Regions from separate parts of the Mus musculus genome. Here all the other regions are reported to be linked to region 1. Evidence: microRNA targets listed by miRTarBase, many of them from high-throughput screens and not tested one by one. Region 1 holds a microRNA gene; each other region holds the end of a gene's coding sequence.
Evidence for each region. Region 1 holds the annotated microRNA mmu-miR-26a-5p (UUCAAGUAAUCCAGGAUAGGCU, at 2,190-2,211, shown strand). A microRNA usually pairs through its seed, bases 2 to 8, with sites in the 3' UTR of a target mRNA and lowers its output. Matches are read on the target gene's strand: a 7mer-m8 pairs with bases 2 to 8, a 7mer-A1 pairs with bases 2 to 7 and ends in A, and an 8mer does both.

Region 2: the mRNA of Ddhd2 is a reported target of mmu-miR-26a-5p. The part of its 3' UTR that is shown has no 7-base or 8-base seed match.
Region 3: the mRNA of Ube2q1 is a reported target of mmu-miR-26a-5p. Seed matches in the 3' UTR shown: 7mer-A1 at 2,236-2,242 and 7mer-m8 at 1,796-1,802.
Region 4: the mRNA of Ctsl is a reported target of mmu-miR-26a-5p. Seed matches in the 3' UTR shown: 8mer at 679-686.
Region 5: miRTarBase lists Rnf141 as a target of mmu-miR-26a-5p. The part of its 3' UTR that is shown has no 7-base or 8-base seed match.
Region 6: miRTarBase lists Ulk1 as a target of mmu-miR-26a-5p. Seed matches in the 3' UTR shown: 8mer at 1,758-1,765 and 8mer at 1,850-1,857.
Region 7: miRTarBase lists Arfrp1 as a target of mmu-miR-26a-5p. Seed matches in the 3' UTR shown: 8mer at 1,468-1,475.

What each region holds. Positions count from the first base shown.
Region 1 is chr9:119,029,622-119,033,770 of GRCm38, forward strand. Mir26a-1 (microRNA 26a-1) reads left to right here and starts at 2,175; the gene lies at 2,175-2,264. Ctdspl (CTD (carboxy-terminal domain, RNA polymerase II, polypeptide A) small phosphatase-like) reads left to right here. Exons shown (of 8, transcript NM_133710.3): 5 at 575-631; 6 at 3,915-4,007.
Region 2 is chr8:25,724,449-25,728,597 of GRCm38, reverse strand. It overlaps Ddhd2 (DDHD domain containing 2), which reads left to right. Exons shown (of 18, transcript NM_028102.1): 17 at 861-968; 18 at 1,235-3,274. The coding sequence ends at 942. It overlaps Plpp5 (phospholipid phosphatase 5), which reads right to left. Exons shown (of 7, transcript NM_028000.1): 7 at 3,711-4,149. Among named protein-coding and RNA genes, the nearest start is that of Plpp5, 6.5 kb to the right of the region's middle.
Region 3 is chr3:89,781,345-89,785,493 of GRCm38, reverse strand. It overlaps Ube2q1 (ubiquitin-conjugating enzyme E2Q family member 1), which reads right to left. Exons shown (of 13, transcript NM_027315.4): 11 at 4,031-4,126; 12 at 3,657-3,723; 13 at 1,497-3,237. The coding sequence ends at 3,206. Among named protein-coding and RNA genes, the nearest start is that of Ube2q1, 9.8 kb to the right of the region's middle.
Region 4 is chr13:64,360,540-64,364,688 of GRCm38, reverse strand. It overlaps Ctsl (cathepsin L), which reads left to right. Exons shown (of 8, transcript NM_009984.4): 8 at 489-2,799. The coding sequence ends at 591. Among named protein-coding and RNA genes, the nearest start is that of Ctsl, 7.9 kb to the left of the region's middle.
Region 5 is chr7:110,813,599-110,817,747 of GRCm38, forward strand. It overlaps Rnf141 (ring finger protein 141), which reads right to left. Exons shown (of 6, transcript NM_025999.3): 6 at 2,937-3,252. The coding sequence ends at 3,102. Among named protein-coding and RNA genes, the nearest start is that of Rnf141, 29 kb to the right of the region's middle.
Region 6 is chr5:110,782,558-110,786,706 of GRCm38, reverse strand. Ulk1 (unc-51 like kinase 1) reads left to right here. Exons shown (of 28, transcript NM_009469.3): 27 at 272-407; 28 at 480-2,218. The coding sequence ends at 535. Among named protein-coding and RNA genes, the nearest start is that of Pus1, 4.0 kb to the right of the region's middle.
Region 7 is chr2:181,356,422-181,360,570 of GRCm38, reverse strand. Arfrp1 (ADP-ribosylation factor related protein 1) reads left to right here. Exons shown (of 8, transcript NM_029702.4): 7 at 832-932; 8 at 1,010-2,881. The coding sequence ends at 1,097. It overlaps Rtel1 (regulator of telomere elongation helicase 1), which reads right to left. Exons shown (of 34, transcript NM_001001882.3): 34 at 3,955-4,149. Among named protein-coding and RNA genes, the nearest start is that of Arfrp1, 6.9 kb to the left of the region's middle.

The sequences.
Region 1 (4,149 bases):
CCGTGGGGACCCATCGCACCCACCACCATAACAGTTGAGGAGCAGATGCTGAAGTCCAGAGGGGAATGTCTACCCAGGATATTCGCCTGTGGCATCTGGCTTTCCGCCTGCTGTGGCTCTGTCCTCTGAGCATCCTGTGCCAAGCTGCCCACACTCTGAGTCCAAGGACAAATTGCTTTTCCAGTGGTAGTGACAACTGGCCAGCAGGCATTCATCTCTGCCCCCTGGTGGCCATCAGTGGTCCGTCCCCGTCCCCCCGTCCCCCATCCTGTCTGGGCTCCAGGCTGGAGTCTGAGCAGCCCCATTCTCTTGCCAGACTATGCCACCCTTTGCAGTTGAGGCAGGCAGGTGTCCAAGAGATTGGGCTAGATGCTGGAACTCCAGGACACTCAGGACAGGAAGAAATACTCCTTCCTACATGTTTATTTCAAGGACCCAAGGCCTCTGCCAGCATCCTTGTGAACTATTTCCTGCCATCGTCAAAACATTGGTCCAGGCAAGCTTCTTTCTTGCTACAATTTCCAATTTTCTCTTTCCTTTCATATGTATTAATCACAATTTCTTTTCTCTCTAGCCCATTAGTAATGCTGACTTCATTGTTCCTGTTGAAATCGACGGAACCATACACCAGGTAAGGAACCAGAGTTAGCCTGCAGTTCCAGAGAGCATTTTCTTGTAACCACACTCCCTGGGAACATCATTTTTTCAATTCTCACTTCAGTGGCCATTTTATTCTAACTTCAGGAAACAAACTTTGTATAATAAGTATAGTAAGCCAGGCATGGAGGCAGAGGCAGGCAGATCTCTTGAGTCTGAGGACAGCCTGGTCCACAAAGCGAGTCCTTGTACAGCCAGGGCTACACAGAGAAACCCTGTCTCAAAAGCTAAATAAAAATACTGTGAATGATTCTCTGCCTCATGCATGCATTTGCTTTTTACCGTGTTTATGAGGACCCTTTTCTGTTAATAAATATTAGGTATGATCTCTGATTTGATTTCAACTTTTAGGAGCCTTTGTGCAATCCCCTAGTTGTCCCCACCGCTGGCCGGGTTTGACATCTGGTCAACTTCATCATGCATTTGCTTTTGGCTTCTCCTAGCAACAGGAAAATGCCACCAGTCACCCACTGACGGAGCATTCTTGGGAAAAATGTCCACTTTGATGCCAACTGCTCCCGTGAGAGCTTCTCTGCCCATGTGGTTTTCTCCAGTGTCTTTTTTAGCAAATACTCAACCCAGAGCAAAGGGGAAGGGTGTGTTAAGACCAGCAGGGTGCTGTGCATAAATTGTCATCGTCAGCTGGCATCAATCTTCTTCCGGTTTTTGGGGTTTTCTGTTTTGGGGTTGTTTGTTTGTTTGTTTGTTTGGGGGAGTTGCTTCTTCTTTATTTTTTCTTCGTCATCAGCAAGCTCTTCTGGAAATGACTTCGTCTATGAATACATTAGAAACATGGTAGAAAAGCTCGCCTTGGAGGTTAAGGTAGATATAGTTTTGCCACATGTTTCTTAGGAGTGATGGGACAGACTGTCTCCCCCATCAAACTCAAGGCCTTAAGGGGAGAGTATCTGGCCTCATATCCCAGGAAGGGACAGACATTTCCTGGTTCCTGGGCCACACAGGATGTCATTTCTTAACGATGCCAATAAGGCTCCTTAACTCTTGAGTGCAGTTTAGAACAATCCAGGGCTGTGAAATCAGCTGTTTTAGCCATTCCGTTGCCCAGACAGAAGGTTATATATGACAATCATCAGGATAAGATTTCCTGACTCCTAAGCCAGGGCTCTTTCCTTAGACTTGGTTCCCCCTGTCTCCCTTACCCCCACCTAGCTCTCTATCCTGTCCTACAGGACATAGGACCTGGGAAGGTTTCAGGCACCTGGTCACTTACCATTCACAAAGCACCAACTGAATTAACTCCACCCCCGCCATGCAGTTAGGACCTCTGCGCTGGTTGTTGTGTCTAAAGTCGAAGAGTCCTTGAGGTGAGGCTCAGGAGGACTGCCCAAGAAAATAATTCTTCACACCACGTGGCCACAAGCACGTCCGGAGTGCAGGACCCACCCCGGCTTCCCTTGCCCCTTCTCTTTGGCAGTAGACACCCCGGGCATCAGGGCTGGGAGCAGAAACTCCAGAGAGAAGGAAGGTACAAAAGCTGGAGGACCGAGGCCCTGGCGAAGGCCGTGGCCTCGTTCAAGTAATCCAGGATAGGCTGTGCAGGTCCCAAGGGGCCTATTCTTGGTTACTTGCACGGGGACGCGGGCCTGGACGCCGGCATCTGGGCCCAGGAACCTCCTTTCTGCTAAAGGCGGCAACAACAGAGTTTCCCCCGTCCATCTCCAACCCTTTGCCTGTAGCCAAGCTTGCTGGCCAAGCAGTCCTCCCGGAGACTCAGGACCGGAGGCCACACCCAGTCACTGGCACCAGCAACAACGAGTGTTATGAGCAAAGCAGGTCCTGCAGCTGCTACAGCCACACAGCTCTGCCCTCAGCCTAGCCCAACACCCCAGCTCAGCAGGATCCTGGTGGCACCCAGGATAGACCACCTATATTCCTCTGGCCCCTCTCTCCACCCTCAGCTGCAGAGCCAGACCCCCAACCCACTCCTAAAGCTAGCCAGCCGCTTTCTCTCCAGGTCTTTGCCCTAGGAAGCGCCTTTTCCTGGCATGCTGCAAAGCAGTGTTTCCATCTAGGAAGTCTGTCCTGCAGTGTGTTTTCCTTGCATGGGGTGCAGTCTTGTGTCTCCTCTCCCTTTCCGCAGCCCCCTCCCCTGCTCTGTCTGCCCTTAGAGGCCCTGTGGCTTACTGCTACCTTTAGCTCTTTACCTTAACTGCTTCCTCCCTGAGCAGCCTCCAGGGCTTCTCTCACTGCCTATGGTTGGCTGTGGACACAGGCTTTGGCCCAACACAAACCCAAGTGTTGTGACGCTTCCGATCCTCACGTTCACACTTTGCTCGGGTTGGAGGCTCAGCTCTCTCTCTCTCTCAGCGTGTGAGCTCCTCTTTATTCAAGGTCAAGGCCAGATGTTGCTTTCTGAGACGCCCTCTGGAAGGGAGAATTATCTTGAATGAATACCCCACTGTGAGATTTCTTGTGTTCACTAATTTCTGTCAGTGTGTGCTCAAGACTGAGTGAGCTGAGCCGGCAAGGCCCACCACACGAGTCTCCAGAGGATTGGGGGCTCCAATTCAGCCTTGTAGCTGAACTGAGCACAGCGCTGAGACCTGGTAATTATGTTTTATTTTAAAGATGTAGCTAACTTCTAGTGGAATTTACTCAAGTTTTAATTGGTCCCTCCCTCTGCCCACTGCCTCTCCCTGGCTTTGCTTTCTCTCTTCCAGTTCCTACACATTCCTTTAGCCTCCAGAGACTGCAGCCTGGGTGTTAGGTGAAACCAGCTGCTTCGCAGGCCTGTCTGGTCTGATCAGAAGGATACACAGAGCCCAACTGTGGGAAGCAGCCCCTTACCCATGTGAAGTGCTTTCTGTACCCCTACACAAGCAGGGTGACCTCCATGGTGTCCACTAGAAAGTTTTCAAGTGCATTAACCCCAGGGGGCAGGGATGTTCAGAGTTGGAGGCCGCAGCTAGTCCTAGACTTCCAGAAGGACAGCACCTAGGCTGTGGCCTGTGGCCACATAGGGGCTGACTCAGCAAGTGCCAAGTGGATGCATGAGCAACTGCGACTGGACATGGCACAGCTGTGCTCTGCTTACTGGCTCCGAAGATACTCAAGAACCTTGACGACGTGGTCGGCTTTCCTTTCTCTCTACAAGGGTTGAGACGCAGAACCTAGTGCAAGCTTCAGTAAATCGTACATAGGCCTGGCAACAGGAGAAGGGCCCCTTGGCAGTTCTTCCAAGGCCCACGCTGTCCCTGGATGCTATGACTGACAGCTCTTGTCTCCTCCCACCGCAGGTGTATGTGCTGAAGCGACCTCACGTGGACGAGTTCCTCCAGAGGATGGGGCAGCTCTTTGAGTGTGTGCTCTTTACTGCCAGCTTGGCCAAGGTGCGTCCTTTTCGTCCTGCATCCTGTGTCCTGCATCCTGCGTCCTGTTCCCAGCCGTCATCCCAACCTCTCCACCCTCCACCACACCCCCCAAGCTGCCAAGAGCCCTTTGTTAAGGTGGAGGAAGCTATTTTTACGGTGA
Region 2 (4,149 bases), not on the chromosome of region 1:
GAGAGTCTCAAGCTGGTGTTTAGGAGAGACAGGACGAGAGGAAAAGGACTCTAAACTAGGAAGTGGTTATAAATGTAAAATATGCATATTACACATATTTTTTTCTCTCTGTATGGGTTATATGTGTGCGCATGAATACGTATGTGCTCATGTGAGGTGACCAGAGGGCACTGAGTATCCTGCTCTGTCATTCTCTACTTTATTCCTTTGAGACAGAGTCCTGAGCTAGGCTGTTAGCCAGGAAGTCTCAGCAATCCTCCAGTCTCAGCCCCTCACTGTGCTGTTAACTATCCGAGCAGGTTAAGCAGCCTGGCTACTCATGTGAGTGTTGTGTTCCAGACTCAGACCCCATTCTCGCTCAGCCAGCCGTCTAGCCGCTCTCTAACCCCCATCTGATACATTGGAAATTCTGGGTCATACAATCCTATTGCCTTTTCTAAAAAGCAAATAAAGTTTAAAAATGAAGGTGATGAGCAGACAGCTGCTCCTGTTGTTTCAAGAATGCCTCTGGGAGCTAAGAGTGGGTTTATGCTTGTAGTCCTGAGGCAAGAGGCTGAGGCTGGAAGATTTCTGTGAATTCAAGACCAGCCTAAGCCATAGAGTAAGTTGCAGGCACAGCGTGGGTTAGAGTGAGACCTGCCTCAAGCAGTCATTTACCGCCTTTATGAGGGAAGGTGCCAGGACCCTTAACTCTTCCTGTTTCCAGACCACCTCCAAACCACTAGCAATGGACCTCTAAGGCACATATTTTTACAGTAGTAAAAATTAATAAAAAGCTAAGGTATTTGTATAGATTACATGAAAAGCATATGGTGTCAAATGGTTTTGTCTTTTCTCAACGTAAGTTTTTCTCTACACAGGGAATCTGAAGATACAGTATTGCTGGTTCTCAAAGAGATCTACCAAACCCAGGGTGTCTTCCTTGATCAGCCTTTACAGTAAACATGACCCATCTGTGGCTGCTTAATGTAAGTTTTCAATGCAGTGAAGTGTTTACACGTTATAAGGAACATTGGAACCTCAAGAAAAACTCACTTCGAGGACACTGGTTAAAATTCACAGGAAGTGTCCAGTAGCCCACTCAGAAAAGGATTGGTGTACATCTTACCTTGTGCTGGGGATCCCAAGTTACCACACCCAGCCTCCAGACAGGAACCTGGAAAGTCTGTATTAGACAGTGGCATTCTCTGGTGGCTGGTTCCCCTGGGTGACCTTTTCCCCCCCTCTCCCATAGATGGACACTGAGGGAGACTGTCCTGAAAACCCACACGCTTGCTGCTGCAGCTTCCTTCTCAGCTACCTTGTGTCCTGCATGCTGCCTGCCTTACTCCATGGGATCTTCCCAAGAGAACCCTCTTTGGAGACTACTGGAAAGCGGAGGGGCACTCACTGTTCTGTATGGACGCTCAGCAGGTTTTGTGGCTAGGGCGTTTACATATCCCAATGCTTTAACAGCAGCACTTCCTTGTTTCTTACATGGGAATGAATATCTGTTTAGGGGGCTTGGGGGGGGTTACTCCTTATCCTTACCAACACTACGGGTGGGAGTATAAGATGTAGAGGTACTTAGGGGTCCCGTCCCTCTGTGTGTTCTCTGTGCTGGAGGGCTGAGCATCACTGCATTTGGGAGAGCTGCTGGCTTTTGAGCCAGCTTTTCTTTCCTGGATTATATGAAGATCAGACAGAAGCTTACTAATAGCACAGTTTGCTCTGAACACTGTTACGTGAGTGGATTGTAGAACCACTGGTGCTGGTCCTGGTCCTGGTCCTTACAACTGCTTCAGCTTCTGCAACCCTGAAGGTTGTATTAACTGTGTGCCTGCTCTTTTACACCGTATTCCAAGCCAGCGGTGAAGTTGAGGACATTACTAGGTAATACTTATTTTGAAGGTCAACCTGAAATTACATGGCCCTTCCCTGCTGTTCATGTTGTAAATGCAGTCTTTTAGTAGCACCGATTTAAGTCACCTGCTCCTTCCACTTGAGTAAAGGAAGTATGTGACATAAATGTCACATTTTTTTTTTTTTTTTTTTTTGACACAGGGTTTCTCTGTGTAGCCCTGGTTGTCCTGGAACTCACTCTGTAGACCAGGCTGGCCTCAGAAATCCGCCTGCCTCTGCCTCTGCCTCCCGAGTGCTGGGATCAAAGGCGTGCGCCACCACGCCCGGCTGCGTCACTGCTTTCTGAGGTACCATCAAATTGTTTATTACAGTTGGCAGTCATGGATTTGAGCATGCAAGCTAGGCTACCTTCTGAAGGAAAACCCTGTCTACAGGGTCTGAGGAGCTGAATCTGGATAACTCAAGGCACATTGATCGTGAGGAAGGGTGACTGTACACTAAGTGTTCCCTTCCTTAGCATGTGCCGTCATCTTTGTCCTCCTCACGATTGCCCTTTAGCTCCTCTGATTTCCACAGGTCTCTATAGAGTGGCAGGAGAGGTGAGCTGTGTTTTGGTTTTTTTCCTTGTTTTGTAAACCTATCATGGTATCCAGAGGCACTGCACATAACATGCCCTGAAACCCTCAGATGGCAGTGCCCTCTACAGACAGGCAAAGGGAGGGAAGCACTGTGCCCTGGACGTTAGAGAGGCAAGCATGGTACGTCAGGCCCAGCCTGCCTTCCTGCTCATGGGTAATACTGGATGAGCAAGCTACTAAGGAGTTCCAGGTATATGGAATACTTTATTTTTTCTACAATATGTCTTGAGTAAGAATACCTGAGAATTAAGTAGTATATTCATTAAATACTAAAAAGTAAGTTTTGTCAATTGCTGTCTTGAGGTTTGTTTACTCTTGTTAGCAGAGTCATTACTACTTAAGAGTAAACCAAAGTACAACCAAGAGTGCGTTCTTGTGACCAAAGATGGGCAGCTTGGCCCTGGAGAGCTAGATAAACCCCTGCACTGAGAAAGGCTTCTTCCCGCAGTCCGGTACTTACACGTGACCACGCTGAGTGTTATACAAGGCAGTGTGGTGGCAAGGGACCTGGGTGTGGACCTGCACTGCGTCGTCTGTTATCATGCACAATCTCCTGACCAAGGCTGTTTCTAAACTCCAGGGTGACAGCATTCTGTCTGTGATTCTGTCTGTGATTCTGGCAGCACAGTTGGTGGGAGACTGTCTGCAAGGGACGATGAGTAGCTCTGATAACCTTGCTGATATTTTGCACTTTTGAAATGTTTGTTTTATATGTGATTATATTTAAGACGTTAGTAAATGCCGAAATAAAACTATTGACCATTTGCCTACATTCATGTGGCCTTATCTATCATCAAGAAAATCAATATAGTAGGCATTTTCTCTTACATGTTACTAAATTCAAAACAAAAAGTTTTAGGCAACTAACTGATGGTAAGCTCTTTTCCCTTGATGGATGTTTACATTCTCATGGACACTATAGCTCAGAATTGAAACAGAGCCTGTCCTTCAGCATCTGCAATATTAGCTAATACAACTGATACCAGCAGTTAGTTACATACACCAGATGGGAAGCCAGTCTTAATCTAGACCTGAACGGTTCTTATGAAGTACAAACCCTCAGGCACACTCTTGTGTTTCACTGCCAGACTTTCTGAGAAAACGAAGTACACTGAGAACACGTTTAAGACTATGTCAGAGCTGGGCAATGCTGGAGCGTGCTTTTAGTCCTAGCACTCTGGAGGCAGAGGCAGGTGGGTCGCTTGAGTTCACTCACACACACACAGTATGTTATAGGAAGAAATACATAAGAGAGACTTTTATTTAAAGTATAATAACAATAAAATGGTAGCTATCAGTTGGTCCTCCATACCAAGTTCTGGTGATAGCCTCTAGTTGCGCCATTTATTTCTTTATGAACAAAGGCAGAAAGTGTTGCATTTATTTTCTAGATAATATCCCTAATTTTTCTTTCCTAATGTAGTAAAAAGTAAAAAATTGGCCAAAATTGAATGTTTTATTATTTAAGGCTTAATGGAATGTTACCACAAAAAGCAAGCCGAATCAGAGTTTAGCTGGCACTGCCCTTATTTATAAAGGACAGGGATTATGTTCGGTAAATGGGGTCATGAAAGCTTCCTTTGTGGAAAGGTTTCCTCTGGAGTGACATTTAATCACTGTAGACACTAGGTCTTAGAATAGCAATCCTATGGATTAACCTAGTGAGAGA
Region 3 (4,149 bases), not on the chromosome of region 1:
TGGAAGGTGGCCCAGAAGGGAGCCTCCTGATCCAAAGAACAGCTGCCAGGAGAGCCCGAGTGCCCAGCCCAGTTGTGTCTTCAGTAGCCGCTGAGAAAGCCACCCCACGGGATCACCTTCCTCCTGTCAAGTGGGTGAAAGTGAAAGGGCCTTCCTGGTATTTCATAGCTTAGAAATGGCATCCTAGGGAGGGACTTCCTCAGGCCCTAATCAGAACCCGTCTCACTCTTAACTAATAGCCCAGGGTTTGGAGGTGGGAGGGCAGAGCCAAGGTCTGGAGAAAGGTGACTTTTTGTCTGGTTCCCCATTGTCTTCCAGCACCTAAGCGCTCTCTTTCCATGGCAACAACATTTTAGCCCCAGCAGATGTTCTCCTTAGAGAGCTGTAACTGTCTGAACAGCAGGACCAGGGCTGCCTCTTTTCGTGCCTGCTCCTGCCTTGCCCCCAGCCCTGCTTCCCACTGCTGCAGCCTTCACCCTCCACATCCCTGAGCTGGAAGTTACCAGGAGCTAGCAGAGACTTGTTGGGGAGCTGGTCTGCCGCCAGAGCCTGCTCCCTCTGCTTCCCTCCTCTGCCACCACCTGCCCCAAGGTTTGTGTTTTGTTTTGCAGACATTTTGAATTCACACCAGGTGTCCATTAAATCCCTGGGGGAAATCATTGGTGCTTCTGAGAGCTGACTGTCCTGAGTCTACCCAGCCTCTGCCAGGATTCTGTGGGTCTCCCTGGAATCGGGGACTGGTGTGTATGTGTGTGTGTGTGCACCCGCCATCTGACTTCCCTTCTCATCTAGCCATATGCCCTGAAGTGTGAAGACCTTGATGAGGTGTCCCAGCTCATTCCGTCTGCCTGTGCTACCCCAAGAGCCATTCATTCTTGAAGCTCCAGCATGGAGTTGCTTTCTGTCTTGCCTTTACTCATCTTTGCTAAGGGTAAAATCTTGTTTGTCAGGTGTCTTTCTTTAGTCTCCTAAACTGGCATAAACATTTGAGTCAAAAATAGTAAGCTTCCATTAAGTTAGAAGCCTGAGGCAGCTGAGCAAATTTTCCTCATCTTTGGATGCCGGGGCAGACTTGGGGAGGCTGGAAGGGCCCTTGCCTAGGTTTTTTGGTATTGCATGTAGAGTCAGTGAGCCATCACTCCAGCAAATAAAGGTTGTCATGGCTCAAGCTTGGGGTGACGGATACCTTCTCCTGGCTACTGCTTGCTGCCCTGTCCTGCCCTCTAAACTGTGGCATGGAAACCGAAAAGCAGCCCCTAGGCTGTGGGCTACAACCCAGGCAAAGTTACCTGGGTCAGAGATACAAATTCCTTGCTTTTCCGACTGCAGAGAAGAAATCTGCCCCTTTAAATGCATGTAACTTTATAAGAAGCCTAAACTTAAAATTTTGTTAGAAAAGGGTTGGTAAGGAAAATGGAGGATTGTCAAGAGCTGGTGTCACAGTTCCCAGAACCTGGCATTTTCCATCATAGCAAGTGGACATGAACCCATGGTTTCTTTAAATAAGTTTATTAGAGCCAAACTATTTAAATAACTTTATTTGATTCATCCTTTGGTAGATGAGAAAAATACATTACAAAATACATTATACAGAGGACAGCTCACAGTACACGTTACTAAAAACACAATCTACATGCCAGCCCTGGCTGGTGTTAAGTTCAGAAGGAAGCCTTACAGGCTATGAGATAGATTTCAGTTCTATGGAATGACTTATTCCCCTTGTATCCTCTGTGTCTCAACCTCACCATGTATTAGCACCCCTAACCTGGTGGGTGTAGGCAGAATTAGAGCAGCATCAAGTAGGACTGGTGAACTCTCCATCCCCCTAAAGCAGCAAGACATTCAAATCCCTAGAAGAGATGGGGAGTGGGGGAAGATGGCCAAACTCGAATGCCCATCTCAGAAGCATTAGCAAACATCCAGGCAACTGTTCCAGGGCTGGGTTTCCTAAGCTCCAGGACTTGGCTTGGCTGTCCCTTGCCTCTGTCACTTCAGTCTTCCTCCAGTCTGCAGGCAGGTGGTCCCACAGCAAGCTCAAAGAGGGAGATGCAGGCTCCATGTACTGCGTGCAGTCTCACAACAGCAGGTCCAACACTGGTAGCTGTGGCTCTGCAGACTTCTCCCCGGCTGTGCAGTTCCTGGAGCTGAGCCGAGGTCCCACTACACAATGCAACCACATTGAGCTACTGTTTCCAGTAGACCCACAACTTGGGAATGGCTAGAAAGAATCCAAAGTTCAAGTCTTTTCTTAGATAATCTAATAAAGCAGATGAGAGGTGAGAAGAGAGGACAGGAAGGCAGGGAACCAGTGAGTTACAGCCGCTCAGCAGGTTGCTTGGGATTAGAGGAAACCTCATGCATCCAGGAGCCAGGGCACCACCCCACTCAACTTAAAAGGAGTTCATGAAGCAGCTACTCAAGTCTCATCTTTTTCTTGGAAATTTCAAAAATGGAGATTAGTACAAAGAGGTACTAATAATCAGGATGTTTCTGGGCCTCTGCACTGTAGTTCAGCAAGCCAGACTGTTCCAAAGAGTTTAGGTACTGGTTGCTCCAGAGGCCTTCGGGAGAAATCTAGGGTCAGATCAGGCGAGTGCTTCCGCTTGGCCTTTCTCTTGTGCTAGCATCGAATTGCAGCCTCTCTGCAGCTTCTCCTTGCTACCAAAGCATGGTGGGCCTGGCACCCCTCCCCCCACCCAGCAGTCAGGGGATGTGGGAATAAAAATAAAGATGAGTCAAGACCAGCATCTTCAAATTAACAAACTGTAATTGTTTTCCCAAAGATACATTTTTTCATACACATCCATCATACACTGTAACCAAAAAAAGCAGTGTACATGAAATAAGAGAAAATAAATTAAAAACCCATAGCATAGGTAAGGAGGCTCTAGTCTGGAGCACAGCTGAGTTTCCAGCAATATAAGGAGGCTTGAGAGTTTCTTTATAAGAATGCCTGCTAGCAAGGGTTCCAGCGAGGTGGTTGGTCTGTAGTCAGTCTTGAGTACTTGAGACAGTTCAGTGTGTGTTGTGGGTTGTTGTTTTTCCTTAGCGTTTAGAATAGCCATCATTGTCCTGCAATAGGCAGAGCTATCACGTCCAGGAAAAATGAGGGGGGGAAACCAGAGGCAGCGTGAGATCCAAACACAGCATTCAAAGGTAATTGGTCCAGTGGTGCCTGGGGAGGAGGAAGGGTGAGACTCCAGGGCTAGCCATCTTCCTTTGGGGGTGTGTACCAGCCTGCACAAACAGACAGACAAACAAAACACAAACCAGCATAGTGAGGGGAGGCCCAGGCCAACTTCACCTGCCCCAATCAATCCCTGAGGACACCTCCATGTTCCAGGAAAGCATATGCTAGGAAGGCTACTGTGTAGGGGAGCGGAGGCGGCTTACCCGGAGGGTACTGTAAGGGAGGGAGAATGGTGAGCCCACCTAGGGCAGGAACTGGATGGGCTTTGCAGAGGGTAACGCAGAGGACAGTGCCCAGGCTACCAGAAACCCCACTACTGGTTACTTCTTGGGAAGAAGAGGGACAGTACTCCAGACTTCTGGAGAACTGGGCAGACAATGGACCAGGAGACAGTAAGGCTCAGAAACCACGAAGGCCTCTGCACTTGACTAGAGCGGGGCCTGGCCTGGCCTGGGGCCAGCCTCACCGTTTTTTTCATGGATCTGCACCAAGGACTTGTAGGACTGCTGTGCTCTCGTCAGGCTATACTGAGACTGGGGAGAGAAAACCATCAGATCAGGTCATGGCCATCTGCAACCTACTGTCCCTCACCTGCAGGCTGTCACCCAGGGGCCCAGGAGTCTCAGCTTCTAGAACCAACCATCTCTGCCTGGGAAGACCTTGAGGACACACCACACATGATATCTCTTCCCAGACCTGTGCCACCCCAACATCTGAGGATGCCCCTGGGGCCAATGCCCTCCCTCCATTTCAGGGGCCTTATCCTCTGACCCTAAAAGGCAGCTTTAGCTGGCTGGTGGCCTAAACTGTACTTGGCTCTCACAGTCCCAGGGTCCTTACTTTGTTGGCTCCAAACTGCACCCGTGCTTTCCCCTTCACCAGCGTGGCGCTGATCTGCATGATCACGGACTCTATGGAGTAGGCACTGCTCCAGCCCTGGGGCACGGCAGGGACAAAGC
Region 4 (4,149 bases), not on the chromosome of region 1:
TTCAATTCCCAGCACGGCATACAACCTGGCATGGTTATCCCAACACTGGCCTTAGTGTCATGCTTTTAGAAAATTGGTGGCATTAACCTTGGTTACACACAACCCTGTCTCAAAATAAGTGAGGGGCTTGGGCAATGACTCGGTGGATAAGGTACTTGCCACTCAGTCATGAGGACCTATATATGCTTGGATTCCTACCACTCACATATGGGCTGCATAACACAACTGTAACCCCAGTTCTGGGCACTAGGGGGCTGTGAGCTCCAGGTTCAGTGAGCCACCCCTATATCAAAAAAAGTAAGAGCGTGATAGAGGAGGGTAGCAGTGTCTGCCTCCTGCTTCCATGCAGTTGAATGAGTTGAAGACCCACAGGAATGAGTGCCTCTATATATTCTATGTTTAGATCTTAGAACCCTCAGAGGTAAGTGCACTCCTATTTTTTAAGTATAAACTATTAATTCTCTCATATCTCCTTGGATCTCTTTCAGCTGGGGAAGTGAATGGGGTATGGAAGGCTACATCAAAATAGCCAAAGACCGGGACAACCACTGTGGACTTGCCACCGCGGCCAGCTATCCTGTCGTGAATTGATGGGTAGCGGTAATGAGGACTTATGGACACTATGTCCAAAGGAATTCAGCTTAAAACTGACCAAACCCTTATTGAGTCAAACCATGGTACTTGAATCATTGAGGATCCAAGTCATGATTTGAATTCTGTTGCCATTTTTACATGGGTTAAATGTTACCACTACTTAAAACTCCTGTTATAAACAGCTTTATAATATTGAAAACTTAGTGCTTAATTCTGAGTCTGGAATATTTGTTTTATATAAAGGTTGTATAAAACTTTCTTTACCTCTTAAAAATAAATTTTAGCTCAGTGTGTGTGTATGTGGGACTTCAGTGTGTAATGTGTTGACAAATGTTCGGGACTAAATACTGATTCAGGGTGACATGGTACAGCAAGAAAAAGGTGGCAGGTGCTCTGGAGCCTTCGGATTTCACCTCAGTGTCCCATCAGATTAGGTATGTGTTAGTGAATCTAGCTTGGGATAATTGTTTTCTTTTTGTGTGTGTACATGGTAAATGTGTGGAGTTCAGAGAACAACTCAGTTCCACAGTGTTGGTCCTATCAGGTCCTAGCCATCAAAATAAGGTTGTCAGGCTGGGCCACAGGTGCCTTTTACTACTGAGCTATCTTGCCAGCCCCACTAGTTTTTAAGTGACATAATTACGTATGTTTATACTATAATGTGTTTTTGATATGATGTGTATACTACAAAATGATCTGATAGGGCTAATAAGCTTACCTCAAATATTTAATTACTTTGTTGAACTTTTCTAGCTGTTTTTAAAATACACAGTATATTATTGTTGGAAACTGTCCTGTTATGTAGACCAGGCTGGCCTTAAGCCCATGATCTCCCTTCCTCAGCCTTCTAAGGGCTAAGATAAACATGTAATGTTATACCCAGTCTCAAGTCTCATATCTGGCAAAACTTGACAGTCCAGAAGAACATGAGTAAATCGCTCAGCACAGGAGTCTCAACTTTTCTAATTCTGTGACCTTTCAATATAGTTCCTCCTGTGTGACTCAAACCATAAAATTATTTTTGTTACTACTTTATAACTAATATTGCTACAGTTATAAATCATAATGTAGATTTTTTTTTTTTTTTTTTTGGAAATAGAGGTTTGTCAAAGGAGTCACAGCGCTGAGAACCACTGTTCTAGAAACTTGCAGGTTTTACATATTAGGCTGACTGGAAGAAGGTTGAAGTGCTAGTTTCAGTAGTGCCTGTCCACATTGCCAGTGAAGACCACAATCCTGCTATGTAGTTCTAGAAAGGGCCATACACAGGTGGGCTGTAGGCTGACATTATTCCCAATTGGCCTGAGAAACCCCATGCTACCCAGGAATGACAAAAAAATAAATGAATAAATACATTAAGCAGTTGTGATTAACTTCCCAGGTGATGACAATACTGGAGATGGGCATGCCCCTGAGGTAGAATGATCCAGGCATGGGCGTAGCCAGCCTTGAAAATGTCAATGACTTAGCAGGGTTCTTTTCAAAACTGAATTTTTACAAGGGAGTTCATAGATGGACCTTGATGGAAACTGACTACCAGAAAAGACTCGATCTCTCTGCCATGTTGGGGTCAGCAAACAAATACCACAAGATAAATGCACTTCAGCATTTCAATTATACCGTTTGTATGCCCTCTGCCTTGCTACTTTCACACCAGATTGTCTAAAATGCCTGACGGACGCCGCTTCAGGAAGGAAGGAAGGATTCGTGTTAGGTCATAGTGGTCAGAGGGGTACAGGTCATGATGGTGATGGGGCACGGGAGGACCAGAACAGTTTGTTTCACTGGTCAGGAAGGAAGGTCAGGAAGCAAGGTGAAGGCTGATGCTCAGCTGGCTTTTTTGTTTCCAAATCCTTTTATTATCTGAGCCCTGAGTATATGCTATGGTGCCATCCACAATCAGGGTAGATCTTACCTTAGTCTTCTCTGAAAATGTCCCACTGAACACACAGCATCTCTTAGATTATTTTTATTTTGGGTGTTGGGGATGGAGTATGGGTATGTGTTTGCATAGCACGTGTGCGTGTACTTAAAAGGTCAAAGTTCGGGCTGGCGAGGTGGCTCAGTGGGTAAGAGCACCCGACTGCTCTTCCAAAGGTCCAGAGTTCAAATCCCAGCAACCACATGGTGGCTCACAACCATCTGTAACAAGAACTGACTCCCTCTTCTGGTGTGTCTGAAGACAGCTACAGTGTACTTACATATAATAAATAAATCTTAAAAAAAAAAAAAAGACTCTAGTAAAAAAAAAAAAAAAAAAAGGTCAAAGTTCAGTGACTTCTTTAATCACCTTCCTCATGGGTGCTAGGAGTTGAACTTGGGTCCTCTACAAGGGCAGAAAGTACTCTTAGACCATGAAGTCATCTCTCCAGCCCCCTGTTGCATGCCATGTGGCTGAAATTGACATCTGATGACATGAAGGAACAGATTTACAAATTGGCCAACAAAGGCCTGACTCTCTCCCAGATAGGTGTGATCCTGAGGGGCTCATGGTGTGGCACAGGTCAGTTTTATGACTAGAAATAAAACCTTGAGAATCCTTAAGGCCTTGCCTCTGATGCCCCTGAGGATCTTTCCCATTTGATAAAAAAAAGCAGTTGCAGTCCGAAAGCTCCTTGAGAGAAACAGAATAAGGATGCTCAATTCCACCTGATTCTGATAGCAGAATTCACTGGTTGGCTGGATACTATAAGACTAAGCGGGTGGTACCCACCCAATTGAAAATATGAGTTGTCCACAGTCTCTTTTGTGTACACAAGCAACAAAATCACTTTGAGTTAAAAAAAAAATTCAGGGGAGGGCTGGTAGGATGTACTCTACTTCCCAGAGCAAAGGTGGTTATCATGAAGCTAAATGAAACAGCCCTGACCTTATGTTTTGTGCCAGGGTCTAGCACTGAACTTGGAGCTTATTACTTTGGCTAGTCAGATTGGCCAGTGAACGTCAGGGCTAGAGTACAGACATGTGCTGCCGTTTGGCATTTATGTCAGTTCTAGAGGATCCAAACTTGGGTCCTCCTGCATCTCTCCCACTTCTAGGTGATAGCAAACCCTTCTGTCTTAGGGTTTTACTGCTGTGAAGAGACACCATGACAATGGCAACTCTTATGAAGAAAAACACTTAGTTGGGGCTGGCTTACAGTTCAGAGGTTCAGTCCCCTATCATGGTGGGAAGCACTGCAGCATGTAGGCAGACATGGTGCTGGAGAAAAAGCTGAGAGTTCTACATTTTAATCAACAGGCATTAGGAAGACAACTGGTGTGAGCTTTTGAGACCTCAAAGCCCACCTCCTAGTGACACTTCCTCCAACAAAGCCACACCTACTCCAACAAGGCCACATCTCCCAACAATACTAGTGCCGATGGGGCCATTTTTATTCAAACTACCACAGTAGAAACTCCTTGGCCCTGATAGGCTTATAGCTATCATGCATTTGATAGCTAAATGCACTTGATCCAACTTCAAAAGCCCTCATAGTCCATCATAGTCTCAACATTGTTTAAAAGTTTGAAGTTCAGAGTCTCTTTGAGACTCATGCAATCTCTTAACTGTAAA
Region 5 (4,149 bases), not on the chromosome of region 1:
AAGGTTTCCAAGCAGCCTTATTACCCAGTTGTATATTAATACAAGAAAATCACCTCAAAACAGCACACAAACAACACAACCCCCAGAGCACAATACAAAACAGTCCTCTAATAAATATAAATATTTAGTATATAAGAATGTGAAATTACATAAGCAAACGTTTTTAGTTAGCTAATGTTCACTTGCAAAGTTTACTTATTGCACATTGTATCAGTTTTTCCTAAGAATAAAACAGGCTTTGCTGTTGTCAGCCTTTACATCAATACATAGTCAAACTCTTTCTGAAACCCAACGTTTCCAGCATTTGAGCCAACCTGCTGTTACTGAGTGAGCACAGCACTAACATACAATTTACAACAATTCCCTAAAGCAGGAGGCAATTTGCACATCACTGAAGGCACACAATTTCCTACCATGGTAAATGTATTTATGTAGTTCTTATTTTATAAAGGCAAAGCTGTACAGAATAGAAAAAGTATACATTTTACTCATGAGACAAATTTATGATTAGATCCTATGGTGAACCCTACCTACTATTGACATCTGGAGTCACCACCCAGTTCAATGGAATGCATAGAGAACTCTGCTTACTACTTGATAAGGCAGTTGGAGACACTGACGCTTCACAGTAGACCAGTTAGTATCCCAGAGATCACACTTTAAATAAAGGGCAGTGGGCAAGATCAAGTCACTGGACTCACTTTCTATTCTTTCAAAAATGAAGGATTCTGGGGAATAGAGGTATTGGCTATTGCTGGAAATATCCCCAACCCCTAAAGCTATGTTATTAATTTCTGAAACACTTTAAGATTAGACAATTTGAATTAAACCCAGCAAGTCAAAATCCAAAAGGACAATTTTAGGGCTAGAAAGCATCTCAGAAGATCACTCATTCCAAGGCTTAGAGAATGTGTTCTATGGAGCACTTGAAAGTTGACAGAATATGACAGAATATGAATTTTAAAATGTTTTAAAGTTGTTTTGCTAGTGTGTCTCTCTGTGTGTAACATGCATGTGGGTGCCCTAGGTGGTCAGATGAGGGTGTTGGAGCCCTTGGAGAGATACAGGTGGTTGTAAACCACTAATGTGGGTGCTGGGGATTAAACTCTGGTCCTCTGCAAGAACAGTAAGTGCTCTTAACCACTGAGTTAGCTCTCTAGCCTAGCCATCCCAATTGTTTTTGAAACAGCATTTCAATGTAGCCCAGGCTATCCTTGAACTCACTCTGTGATGGAGGATGACCTGGGCCTTCTGGTCTTCCTGCTTCCTCCTCTCAAGTGCTGGGGTAGGAGGGGTGCACCAGCATCACTGTTTTTACGCAGTGCTGGGATGGAACCCAGGCTTTATATATATTAGGTAAGCACTCTACCAACTGAGTTACACCTCTAGCCCTGAATTGTTATTATTTTTACAAAACAGAGGTTTTTTCATTTACAAATTCTAATGTAACTGTATCACCAATACATTTTCACATTTTCATATACTGACTTAAACTCGATCACACTAAGGTTTGTGTAAGGAAACTTGTATTAATAATATGTAGCTTCTCTATAACGGGGTAGCATGTGTGTGTGTGCACTCAGTGTGAATAGGCTCTCAGAACTTACTTGAAATGCTAATGTTTGAAAACCACAAATACAATCTGAGTTTCTCAATAAGAACCTACAACAGAGTAAGACTTTCTCGGGGTTGTGAAACCATCTCAGCTAAGGTATGACAGACAACAGCACTGTGCTTGCCCGCATGCTCGGCAGACTGCTTAGCCATTTGGTGTCACTGCCCTGTCCTTACAGTGAATGGACTATTGATGTCTTCAGTATTTGGGGGCAGAATCAAGTCAGACCTTTTTTTCCCCCGAGAGGGATTTTATTTGAATATTCATTAAAATCTGAATCAAGTCAGATCTTTTTCTTTGAAAGGGATTTTATTTAAATATTCATTAAAATCTGAATCAAAAATCAATAAGCAGTAACTTCAATTGTGTACATCTATACTTAGGAAAACAGGGACAGTTGAAACTTGCCAAAAATCTGTGAGAAGACTTCTATGGAACGCTAACATTTCTTACAGGGGACTTATTTCATGCACTAGCACTTTTATAGGCTGCACTGTTAGCATTAACGTTCTTCCTCCATAAGCCACTGTGGCTGTCACTGAGGCCGCACTCCTGTCACGGTTCTCTCTCTAGATGCCTGAATAGTGCAGAGAAATGGGAAGAAAGCCAATCAAGGTCTGGAGTTTAGGGTTTTACAACTGCTTGGTGAGGAGGTTTACCTGATCGTCCTCTTCTTTTAATCTGAGAAATTTGAGGAAACCGAAGCCTCAGAAAGGCGTCTTTACCTAAAATAAACGCTGTCTGGCTCAGGACTGGATGCCTCTGTGGAATCTGGAAATATAAAATGTGTGTTTCTATAAAAGAAAAAAATCCTTCTGAAAACTCAAGCTTCATGGGCATTATGAAAAAATCCAACGGGCACCTATCCAGGTCCGGGGATGCCTTTCTAAAGCAGCCATGAAGATCCCTCCGGTACAGTCCATTTTCGAGACAAAGTTCCAACCAGACAGTCCTAATCCGTGTGCTGCATCATGGCAACATAAAGAATAAGTAGTTCCAGAACCCAAGGCCAAAAGTGACATAACATCAGGAAGCAATTGGGCCACAGTACTGAAGGATCCATAATGAACCACAAGGGGGCAGAGCACACACACCTCAGGTTCCAACTGAGACATTAGTTTCAGTCATTTATCTCAGATGGCTACAACTGTCAACACTCTAAAACTTAAACCTACTAAAAAGATGCCAGAACAGTCCCTCCCTCCCTGAAAAGCAGTAGTGTCAAGTATTGCTGCTATCTGTAGCAAAGGGCTCAAGAGCAACATAGAATAGGTGGACTGTGGGAAATATGGCTAAACAGTAGCAAACTGTAGCCCACCATACATGGAAGACATGGGAGTTTATTTAAGAACGGGACATACCAGAATAGCAAAAATAAGAGGGTGGGAAAACTGATATTTCTGTGTGTGCCACAATATCCCCCCCTTCTCCTCTACGACAACAGTGTATTTGTAGTTCAGAATAACAACAGAAAGTCTTCCCCAAGTCATGGCCTGTGGGGCTGGCCTGCCTCATCAGCCATGTTAAGAATATAGTTAGCCATGTCATCTTCAGTGGGTGCATCTGACACCACCCATGATTCATTTGCTCCAGTCATCTGTAGGCGACAAATGGGGCAGTTCCTGTGTCGATCACTCCTGTCAGGGAAGTCCAAGCAAAACAAGTTTTTCCTTTTTTTCTTTTTCTAAAAAATCAGGTTTTTTGAAAAGTACATGGCTTTAAAAATGCAAACAACATAGAAATGTGCAATGAAAAATTAATCTTTCTCTTCACTCCAACCTTTAATTCTCTCTTCCAGGATCAACTGGTTGCCTACGTATTTCACCAGGAATGACTGAAGTTGTCAATGTGTGGGAAACGAGCAAGTGAGTACGTTCTCGCTGACCTTGTACCCACGTCTTAGAAACCACTGTGTACCAGTGTATGTAAGCGTAGTCTTTCTTTTCTCTTCTCGGTGGCTTGCCATCCTCCTGCTCCAGCCTGCTCAGGGCTGGGACTGTGGCATGCTCCCATACACCTGCTGCAGAGTATCTAACTCATCTCTGGTAGAAAGATACCTAGTTCCTTCACCTTGTTTGCTACCACCAGCTAAAATCTTCAGTTCTTACTTCTGCACCCAAATAAGTTTTCCTCAATAAGAATTCCTTATGTGTCCTAAGGGAAGCTCCCTCTCACCAGTGGGAGAGTTAGGGTAAAATGTGCAACGTTTAAACATTTATTTTTAATTTAAGTGGAAACCACTGCACATTTAGCAGAAAGGTATTACTAATTATTATTCTGAGTAATTAAGGTCATTTTTTAAAGGTAGGGTCTCTAAGCAGCCCATAGAACTTGCTATATAGACCAGGCTGGCTTTGAACTCACAGAGCTCTGTCTGACTCTGCCTCTTCAAGTGCTGGAATTAAAGGTGTGTGCCACCACATTCAACAAGAGAAAAGAATTTTGACACGTTATTAAAATCAAAAGTCTGATAAAATGTCCTTTGGTTCAAAACCAAGAAGATTTAAGGAAACTGTATAGGGATGGAACATCTG
Region 6 (4,149 bases), not on the chromosome of region 1:
CACAGTGGTAGGAATGGCACTGGGTGGTTGCTTAGCACTCTGCAAGCATTTCCCCTTTGCTCCCCCTGGAGGAGGGGTTGTGTACAGACCAAGCAGACAACACAGTGCCCACTGTGCAGGCAGGCCATGTGGATGAGCATCTGTAGCTAATTCCGTAGACCTTTTGTGTTCACAACACAACTACAAGTGAAGTTGGGCAAATCCGCAGTATGCTGAGCAGTCAGGCCCCCTGTCGTGCCCCAGCCCTGCCCAGCTTTGCTGTTGCCTGTAGGTACAATCAGCTGCCCTTGATGAGATGTTCCAGCACCGAGAGGGCTGTGTACCGAGATATCACAAAGCCCTGCTATTGCTGGAGGGGTTGCAGCACACTCTCACGGACCAGGCAGACATTGAGAACATTGCCAAATGTGAGTGCCTTTCCGGAGCTTAAGTGGGGGTGGTAGGTGTGGCCTCCCTGTCTCATGCTCTCTCCTCCACAGGCAAGCTGTGCATTGAGAGGAGACTCTCGGCCCTGCTGAGTGGTGTCTATGCCTGACTACCTGCTGCCAACCTGCAGGGTAGGGTCTGAGACCTGGCAGACTGTCCTCAACACTGATCAGATCCGATGGTGCTGAGACTGCTGCCAGCCAACTCCAGCAGGGATGCTCCACAGTGGACCTGTGCAGACTGGTGCAACTCTTGCTTCCTAGACTGCCAGTCTCTGCTGGCAGGTAGACATCAGAGTGCCAGGGGTCCCTTGCCCACTGGGACAGGAGTTTCTGAACATATTCTTCCTAGCTGGCTCCCTGGCAAGCAGGTATGGTGCCGAGAAGTGGCACCTGCCACCTGAAGAGCCCATGGCAGCCCTGTGTCAGGCAAGGGCCTGAGACCGTTGCTGACTCCAAGCCAAAGCAAGCTTTTCCTCACAGTTCACTTGCCCCATTGCTTGTCCAAGAAAAAAGGGTATGGTCTTCTGGCCCCCTGTTCTCTCTAGGAACTTCTCCCTCTGAGACTACTTACCCAGCTTTGTAAGTCACCGGAGCACTTTATGCATACAGAGACTGGAGAACCTAGCCAGCAGTGCAGACTGCTGGGAACCTGCCTCCTGTTCCTGGCTTTCGTCCTCCAAGACGCTGTATAGATGCAGACCACATCTTTGTGTATAAAAAGCCCAGTGTTCACCTCCTCCTGTGTCTGGTCTTTGGAGGAAAGCAACAGGCTTGCCTCCTGAGGGAGAGATAGTCCTCACGTTTAAATGTTCATTAGGGACAGACAGTTCATTGTGTGAAGCACCACCCATGCTTGTTAAAACTCCTCAACTTCCACACTTTACTCCTAAGATGTGTCTCCACCCTCCCAACTCAGTTTTTGTTCATAAAAGGAAACTTCAGATGTTTAAGGATTGAAAGGGCGGAGGCAGGGCAGGCCAGGTATCACACTGGATGTTGTCCTTGTAGGAGACGGTGCCCGCTGTGTGGCTGAGGCTGTAGCATGTGCCAGAGCGAGTGTGCTGCTGGCTATCTCTATTAACTTTCCCTGGAAGGGCGGCAGAAAAGGCAGTGCCCAGGTGCCGTCCTCCCTGTGCAGTGGAGGTGTGGGTGAAGAATAACATATGCAAACATGTCCCCTGTGGAGCTTTCCTGTCAGTCTGGCTCCTGTGCTTGGTGGCCTTCAGGATCTGTGCTGAAGCTCGTCTTCCAGGCTCCAGGGTGGACACATGCTAATACCTTCCCAGCCTCCCTGACCTGCCAGTCCTTTGTCACGGCTCTGTTCATGCATACTTGAAAGTATCTGAGTGTCCACAAGCTGATGTGGGGTTTCAGAGTTATAGGCCACACACACACACACACACACACGTTTTTCTTTGCAATACTTGAAATATTGCCACTGTGCTTGGTTGTACAAGAGTTGTACAAGAAAGCAGATCTCTAAGACCAGTCTCTTCCTTAGTCACCCTATGACCTCCCTTGCATGTAACATGTTGTATTTATTGCTTTGTGGCCAACTGGAACCCAGAGCCACCAGGGAGGCTAGTGCAGGGATTCCTGACCCACCACCTGGTTCCTGAAAGGCTCCTGGGTGGCTGTGTGTGTGTGTGGCTGGCTGTGTGTGGTATGAGCCAAACCTGCTCATGAAAGCAGTGCTCAGGCCTGTCAATTTTAAGATGAATTTTGTGAGTCTCCCCCTTTTGTGTTTCACTGTGTCATATCAGTTTAAGAAAATAAAAATTGGAATTATTTATGTGGTGTCAATTTCATCCTGGGGTGCCACTGTCCCTCCAGGAGCCGGGTGTGCCTTCAGGTCTGTCTGGGCAGGTTGCCTGTGTCCCCCAGCCAGATTGAGTCCAGTAGTACTTCACGGTGCCGGTGGTGTGGTGGCTTGCTCAGCACCGGAAGCAAGCCTCAGTTTGATCCAGGGATAGCTGGGTGGGTTCATTGTATCACCCAGGAAACAACAGTTCCCACTGGGTCAGGTGAGGATCCAGAGAGGGTGGGGCAATTCTCCAGGCCCCCTAGAGTGGAGCATCATTGATAATGAACCTTCCCCATTTTGAGAGACAGGGTCTTTGATTCCTAGGCTCAGATGATCTTCTGTTCTCTGCCTCAGACTTCATAGCAGGGACTGTCGGGCACCCCATTGCACCTGGCTTCACTTGTCATTTTATTCTAAACTTTAGCAAGTATGCTCTGAGGTGCAGTTTCCCAGCACTAATCTTCTATAAACCATTGGCCACTCTGTATGCTTTATTTGTTCCAATCCTCTGTGCTCTCCAGCCCCTTAAGTCAGGCTCTCTATAGTCTAGGCAGGCTGCAAACATGCTATGTTCAACAACCAATCCTGCTTTTAGGTGTTGGAATCACAGATGTATATCACTGTGCCTGGTTTTACTTTGCCTATGCTACACACATTTGGGTTTTTTGTTTTTCTCAGAAAACTTCCTTGATCTGCCTGTGGTTCCCTTTGCTTGCTCTGGCATTGGTATCCCAAGCAAACATCTAGATGTAATGCTTTCATCTTACATCTGTATTATCTTCGCAGGATAAAAATTATTAGGTATAGTAATACCTATATATCATAGTAAACTAATCCAAGATATCACATGTTCATGGAGTCCATGTTTTATTTTTATGCCCTGTTGAGACATTGTTTCAGGTGTCAGTGGTTAAAAGGTTTTATTTATTTTATATATAGTAAATACACTGTAACTGTCTTCGGACACACCCACCGCACGAGGACTTCAGATCCCATTACAGACGCTTGTAAGCCACCGTGTGGTTGCTGAGAATTGAATTCATGCATGACCCTTGGGAGAGCAGTCAGAGCCTGCCAGATAGTTTAACTCACTAGCTGTGGTTGGCTTTGAACTCCCAATCCTGCCACACCCTGCCCAGTGCATGGAATGCAGGCATGGTGTTACCACGCCTGGAGCAGTTTTAGGTTTATAGAGAGACATGGGGAGGTCCTGTTTTTCCTTCTTGCAGCTGATAATTCTTGTTAGCATCTTTGGGTTTGGTGCTACAGTAGACCAAGAGCCTCACGTGCTATGCGAGTGTTTCACTATTGTGCTATATCTGTAGACCCTTAACTATTTTGTATGTGTGTGTGTCTGTGCACTTAGGTGCAGGCACTGGAGAAAGTCAGGAGAGGCTGTTGCATCCCTCTGTGCTGAAGTTAAGAGATTTTTATGATCTGATGTGTGCGCTGAGGTCTGAACTCTGGTCCCTGTGATGAGGCATTTCGCTGTCCCTTTCTATGAGACAGAATCTGGTGAAATTTATGCTGGCTTTGAACTTTTGATTGTTCTGCCACAGCCTCCCCATTACTAACCTGACACCCGCGCCACCACACCCAGACAAACCAGGATACTTGAACAGTGATGTGCCACTGTCACTGCAGTACAGAACTGAGTGCTGTCTTGTAACTCCCGTTCGGCCTGATCATTCTCTTGAACCCTGACCCTGGGATTTCTTTAGAAAATATTGAACATCTATGTTCATATGACTGTGCTGGGGTGGATACATAGTGGAGTCCTGGAGTGGACCTGGCTGACTGGTTGAGGTACAAGGTTCCCTGCGACCTGAACAGTGATCAGAGTGACTGTGAGGCAAGGAGGCGGTTCAGTTCTACAGAACTCAGTAGCCATTGTTGGTTTGAACTTCTGGAGTCTGA
Region 7 (4,149 bases), not on the chromosome of region 1:
TTGATTCCCAGTACCCATGTCAGGTGGCTCACAGCCATCTGGGACTCCAGCTTTTGGGTATCTGACACCTCTGGCTTTAGTAGGTACTTTAGTGTGTTCACTGTACATACCCTCCAGATACATATACATAATATATAAAAAAAAAGCAAATCTTCAGTTTTTAAAGTGGGGGTGGAAAAGTGAAGACAATGGACAAACTCTTAGATGTGCTACTTCCCTTTGGACTTCTGGCTATACAAAGTCCCTACCGTCTTACTAAAGAGGCTCTGTATAGTAAGAGCTGTAGAGGACATGATGGCCAACAGTATCTGGAGGGCCAAGGAAGCTTTACTTTCCGTAGGCCCCATGTATTTACCCATTCTCATCTGACATGACCTGTCCTCCACTCATTTGCGTGAGGACGTAAGTAAGTCTCTGGTACTTGGCTGAGGAACACAGGGGTATTCTCTTAAATGAACAGGGGGACAGAGGAGCCATTGAATACTACCGAGGCTTCTCACCCCTAGGGCCATGGGCCCTGCCTCACTTGGCATTTGAGCTCCTGACTTAGTTCCCAGTGTCCTGCTGGTAGATGTTCTGGGGATTAGTCTTGGAGGTGGTGAGGAAGGTTTTCTTGGGCTATGTGTGGATTTCTAAAGCCATCAGCAGTAGACTTGTTGACCATGTGTGTTGACCACTGGTTTCTATGAGGATCCAGGAACCCTGAGTAGGCTCACCCCTACAGAATTTTTAGGGTGATTGACTATGGCCATCCAGAAAGCCCAAGTGAATAAACAAGCTATATGGAGCTAGAAGTGGGAATGTTCCTCAGAGTCTCACTTTCCCTGCCAGACTTGCCTCTCCATTCCTGACATCAAGACTGCATTCAGTGACTGTACCTGTAAGATTGGCCGGCGAGATTGTCTGACCCAGGCCTGCTCTGCCCTCACAGGGTGAGTTGAGTGAGGTCTTACTCTGCAGAGTCTTCAGGGCCAAGATTAGCCCTGTCTCACACATACTGTCTCCACAGCAAAGGAGTTCGAGAGGGCATCGAATGGATGGTGAAGTGTGTCGTGCGGAATGTTCACCGGCCACCACGGCAGAGGGACATCACATAAGGACCTCCAACCTCAGTCTTGGACTGTTCGTCTCCTAGTGTTGGAAGAGTATTCTCTGCTGGCTTCTATCCTACTGACACTGGGGGTTGAGCTGCCTTTGTCTGTTCATTCTTTTATTTGCTTTATGTTTTCTCTAAGACAAACTTTTCTCTGTGTCTGGAAAAGTGTAGGTATTCAGAGACAAACATGGGGCACGCCAACGATCCAAATCTACATGCCCTACACCTCCATCCCCTGACAGAGATTTAGAGCCCTGCCTGATAGACATGTCAGGGTCTGGAACCCTCCCAACCTTGTGAGGACAGGGAGGCATGAGGCCATGCCTAGGCCTGTTAGTTAGCCTGGTTCAAAGTGGAATTTGAGGTCATCCTACTTGAAAGGGTGTGTGGGGGGGGGGTTGTTCCTGTGACAGCTAGCTGTTTTGTCCAGCTTGCCCATGGAGAAGGTGGGAATGGCCAAGGCTTACCTCACTTGGAGAAAGAACCCACATCTGAGACCAGCATGGCCCCTAGTTGTTTTGTGTGGAGTTGGATATACGTGTGGAAGAGACAAGATTTCTCTGTAGCCCCAGTTAATCTCCGCCTCCTTCCCTATATCTGTGGGGATTACAGGTGGGCATCACACTGAGTTTTCTACTAGGTTCTGATACACTCTCAGAACAGGGTTCAGTAGACCTGCCTGGGAAGCCTAAGTTCCCTTATTAACTCATTCTCAGTCTGCTTTTATCTCCTAAGGAGAGAGCTGATCTTACTGGTGTGTGTTTCAGTACACCCATATACAGGTTGTGTGGTATCCCAAGGACACAGATTTCACTATATCTCCAGATGTGTGTGAGGTATATGTTCCATGTAAGGTGCAGGTTCCTGGGGAGGCAGCAGCTATGCTGGGACTGGCCATGCCCACTAGACCTACTGGGTTAAAATTTTCATCATGTGGTCAGGACAATGTTTAAAATAAAGGCTGCCTGTCTAACCATCCCTTCAATCAGTTAGATGGTGGTTCCCTATTGTCCAGGCTAGCAGTTATAGCCAGAACCTGCTCTTCTGGAGTACCTTCTGAGTAGGGTTCTCTTCAGGGAGGTTTGGAGTTGTGGCTAAGCCACCGGTTCAAGAAAAATCTAGTGGCTCCTTGTCCAAGTCAGGTCAACCTCCCCATGGGGGCCTGGGAGGGGCAATGGAGAAGTTAAAATCAGGAGGGGATAGATACTGATTCAAGGAACTGTCCTGCACATAGGTGTCTAGGAGCTTGGTTGAATCATTCCTAGAGGACCCTCCTGGGAATTAAGAGTAGGTTGCTTAAAAAATGGTCAAGCTAAGGGGATATCCTCTAGCAGAGGGTACAAGATATCACTGGTGTCTTTCTGGCCATCTTTACTCAGTTTTGTCAACACTGGAAAATAAGGGTTCCATGGGGTGACCCTTGGGACACCTTATGGTGGACAGGGAACAGATAGTCCTTCCTATGGGTGGTGGTCATCCTGGTGTGGAGCTTGCTGGCTTGGAAGCATAGTGGGATGAAAGCTTCCCACAACTTGAGAGTAATTGTTTTGCTGAAATGATTAGCTTTATAAAAAGTAAATATGAAGAAGTCTAAAGTTGGGGTGACATTGACTGCAAGCGTAGAATAAAGTCCTGTGTGCAGTAAAGAGTTAGCCAGTCACAAGGAAATCTGTACATAAGCACCTCTATAGCTGGGGCAGCCTACCCTTCATCAGCAACTGAAACAATTGTGGCAATGGTGCCTGGTCCTGAACTTCACTAAAGTTAGAGCACTCCTGTCAAAGCTACAACTATAAGGCTACAGGGCTTACAGTGTCACTGTTCTCCTGGTGCCTGCTGCAGCCAGCACAGCCCTTGAAAGGAAATATCCTGGGGTGTTACAAAGTCTGTGATGGTATGTTCCTATTCCTCAGTTCCTACTGAGGATGACAGGGATTGGTCAGTTTAAAGAGTTAAGGAGAGAGAAGTCCCTAAAAATTAGACATGGTAATGGGAAAAGCAGGAACAGAATGCCCATGGAAACAAGGGACATGGCCCTATTCAAAGAGCAGCTCCTGAGCCCCTTCATTATAAAAGGTAAAGAGGGCCTCTCAGAAACTGGGTTGCCTGCTTTTCAGCATCAAAAAGCAACATCGCCTTTAGGCTAACACATATGGGAGCTGCCTATCCAGGGCCTTGACCTTGTCCACAAGCTACAAATCTGTTGGTTGGTTCTCAGAGGAGGACCTGGACATGGTAAAAGCCAAGCCCAGGTGAGGGCCGAGCAATCCTAGTGAGGGTAGCACTGTCCCCACTGAGTATTCCAGCTGTTAGGGGCTTGATAAAGTGGGTGGAAGAGGCAGTGTCAGGGAATACTTGAGATCCCCCTACAATCCCAAGCTCCCGTAGTCTCACCACATGCAAGCACAAGGTGAGCAAAGCATACATTCTAGGCAGAAGCCTACGTGTGTTAAGTAGCCTAGGCAGCAGCAACAAGCGATTGTGGGTGGTGTGGTATGCTCATGCTCCCTGTGGATGAGCTGACACTGCAGTAGGAGCTGTGTTCTAGAGGGTTAAGCTACAGAATTGTGCATAGTTGGTGTGGGGACACAATGGTGTCTAGCTGATGAAAGGGGCAATACAGGGGATGGATGGAGGGAAGCTCCTTATTGGCTTAAAGCTAACTGGTATGGAGAATGCTGCAAGTCTGGAAAAGATCTTAACAGACCTTTATCCTCCCACATATTTTTTAAAAAAGGTGTCTTTCTGTAGCTTTGGCTGCCCTGGAACTACAGGAGATCCTGTTTTTGCAGGGATTGATAGTGTGCCACACTTGGCACTGCCATGACACACAGTTTAAGACCACAATACAGACACCATCCTGATAACTTAGTTTTATTGGACAGCCTACACCTTCAGTGGTACATGTGCAATGCCAATATAGGCTATTTGAGGTTTCAGAACTTCACAAGTAGATTCAGATCTCATTGGACAGCCAAGCATGAGACCTGCAGTGGGTTTAACCACATCAGGGCAAGCAAAGGGCTCCATCTGTCTTCACTGGGGCTTCGGCC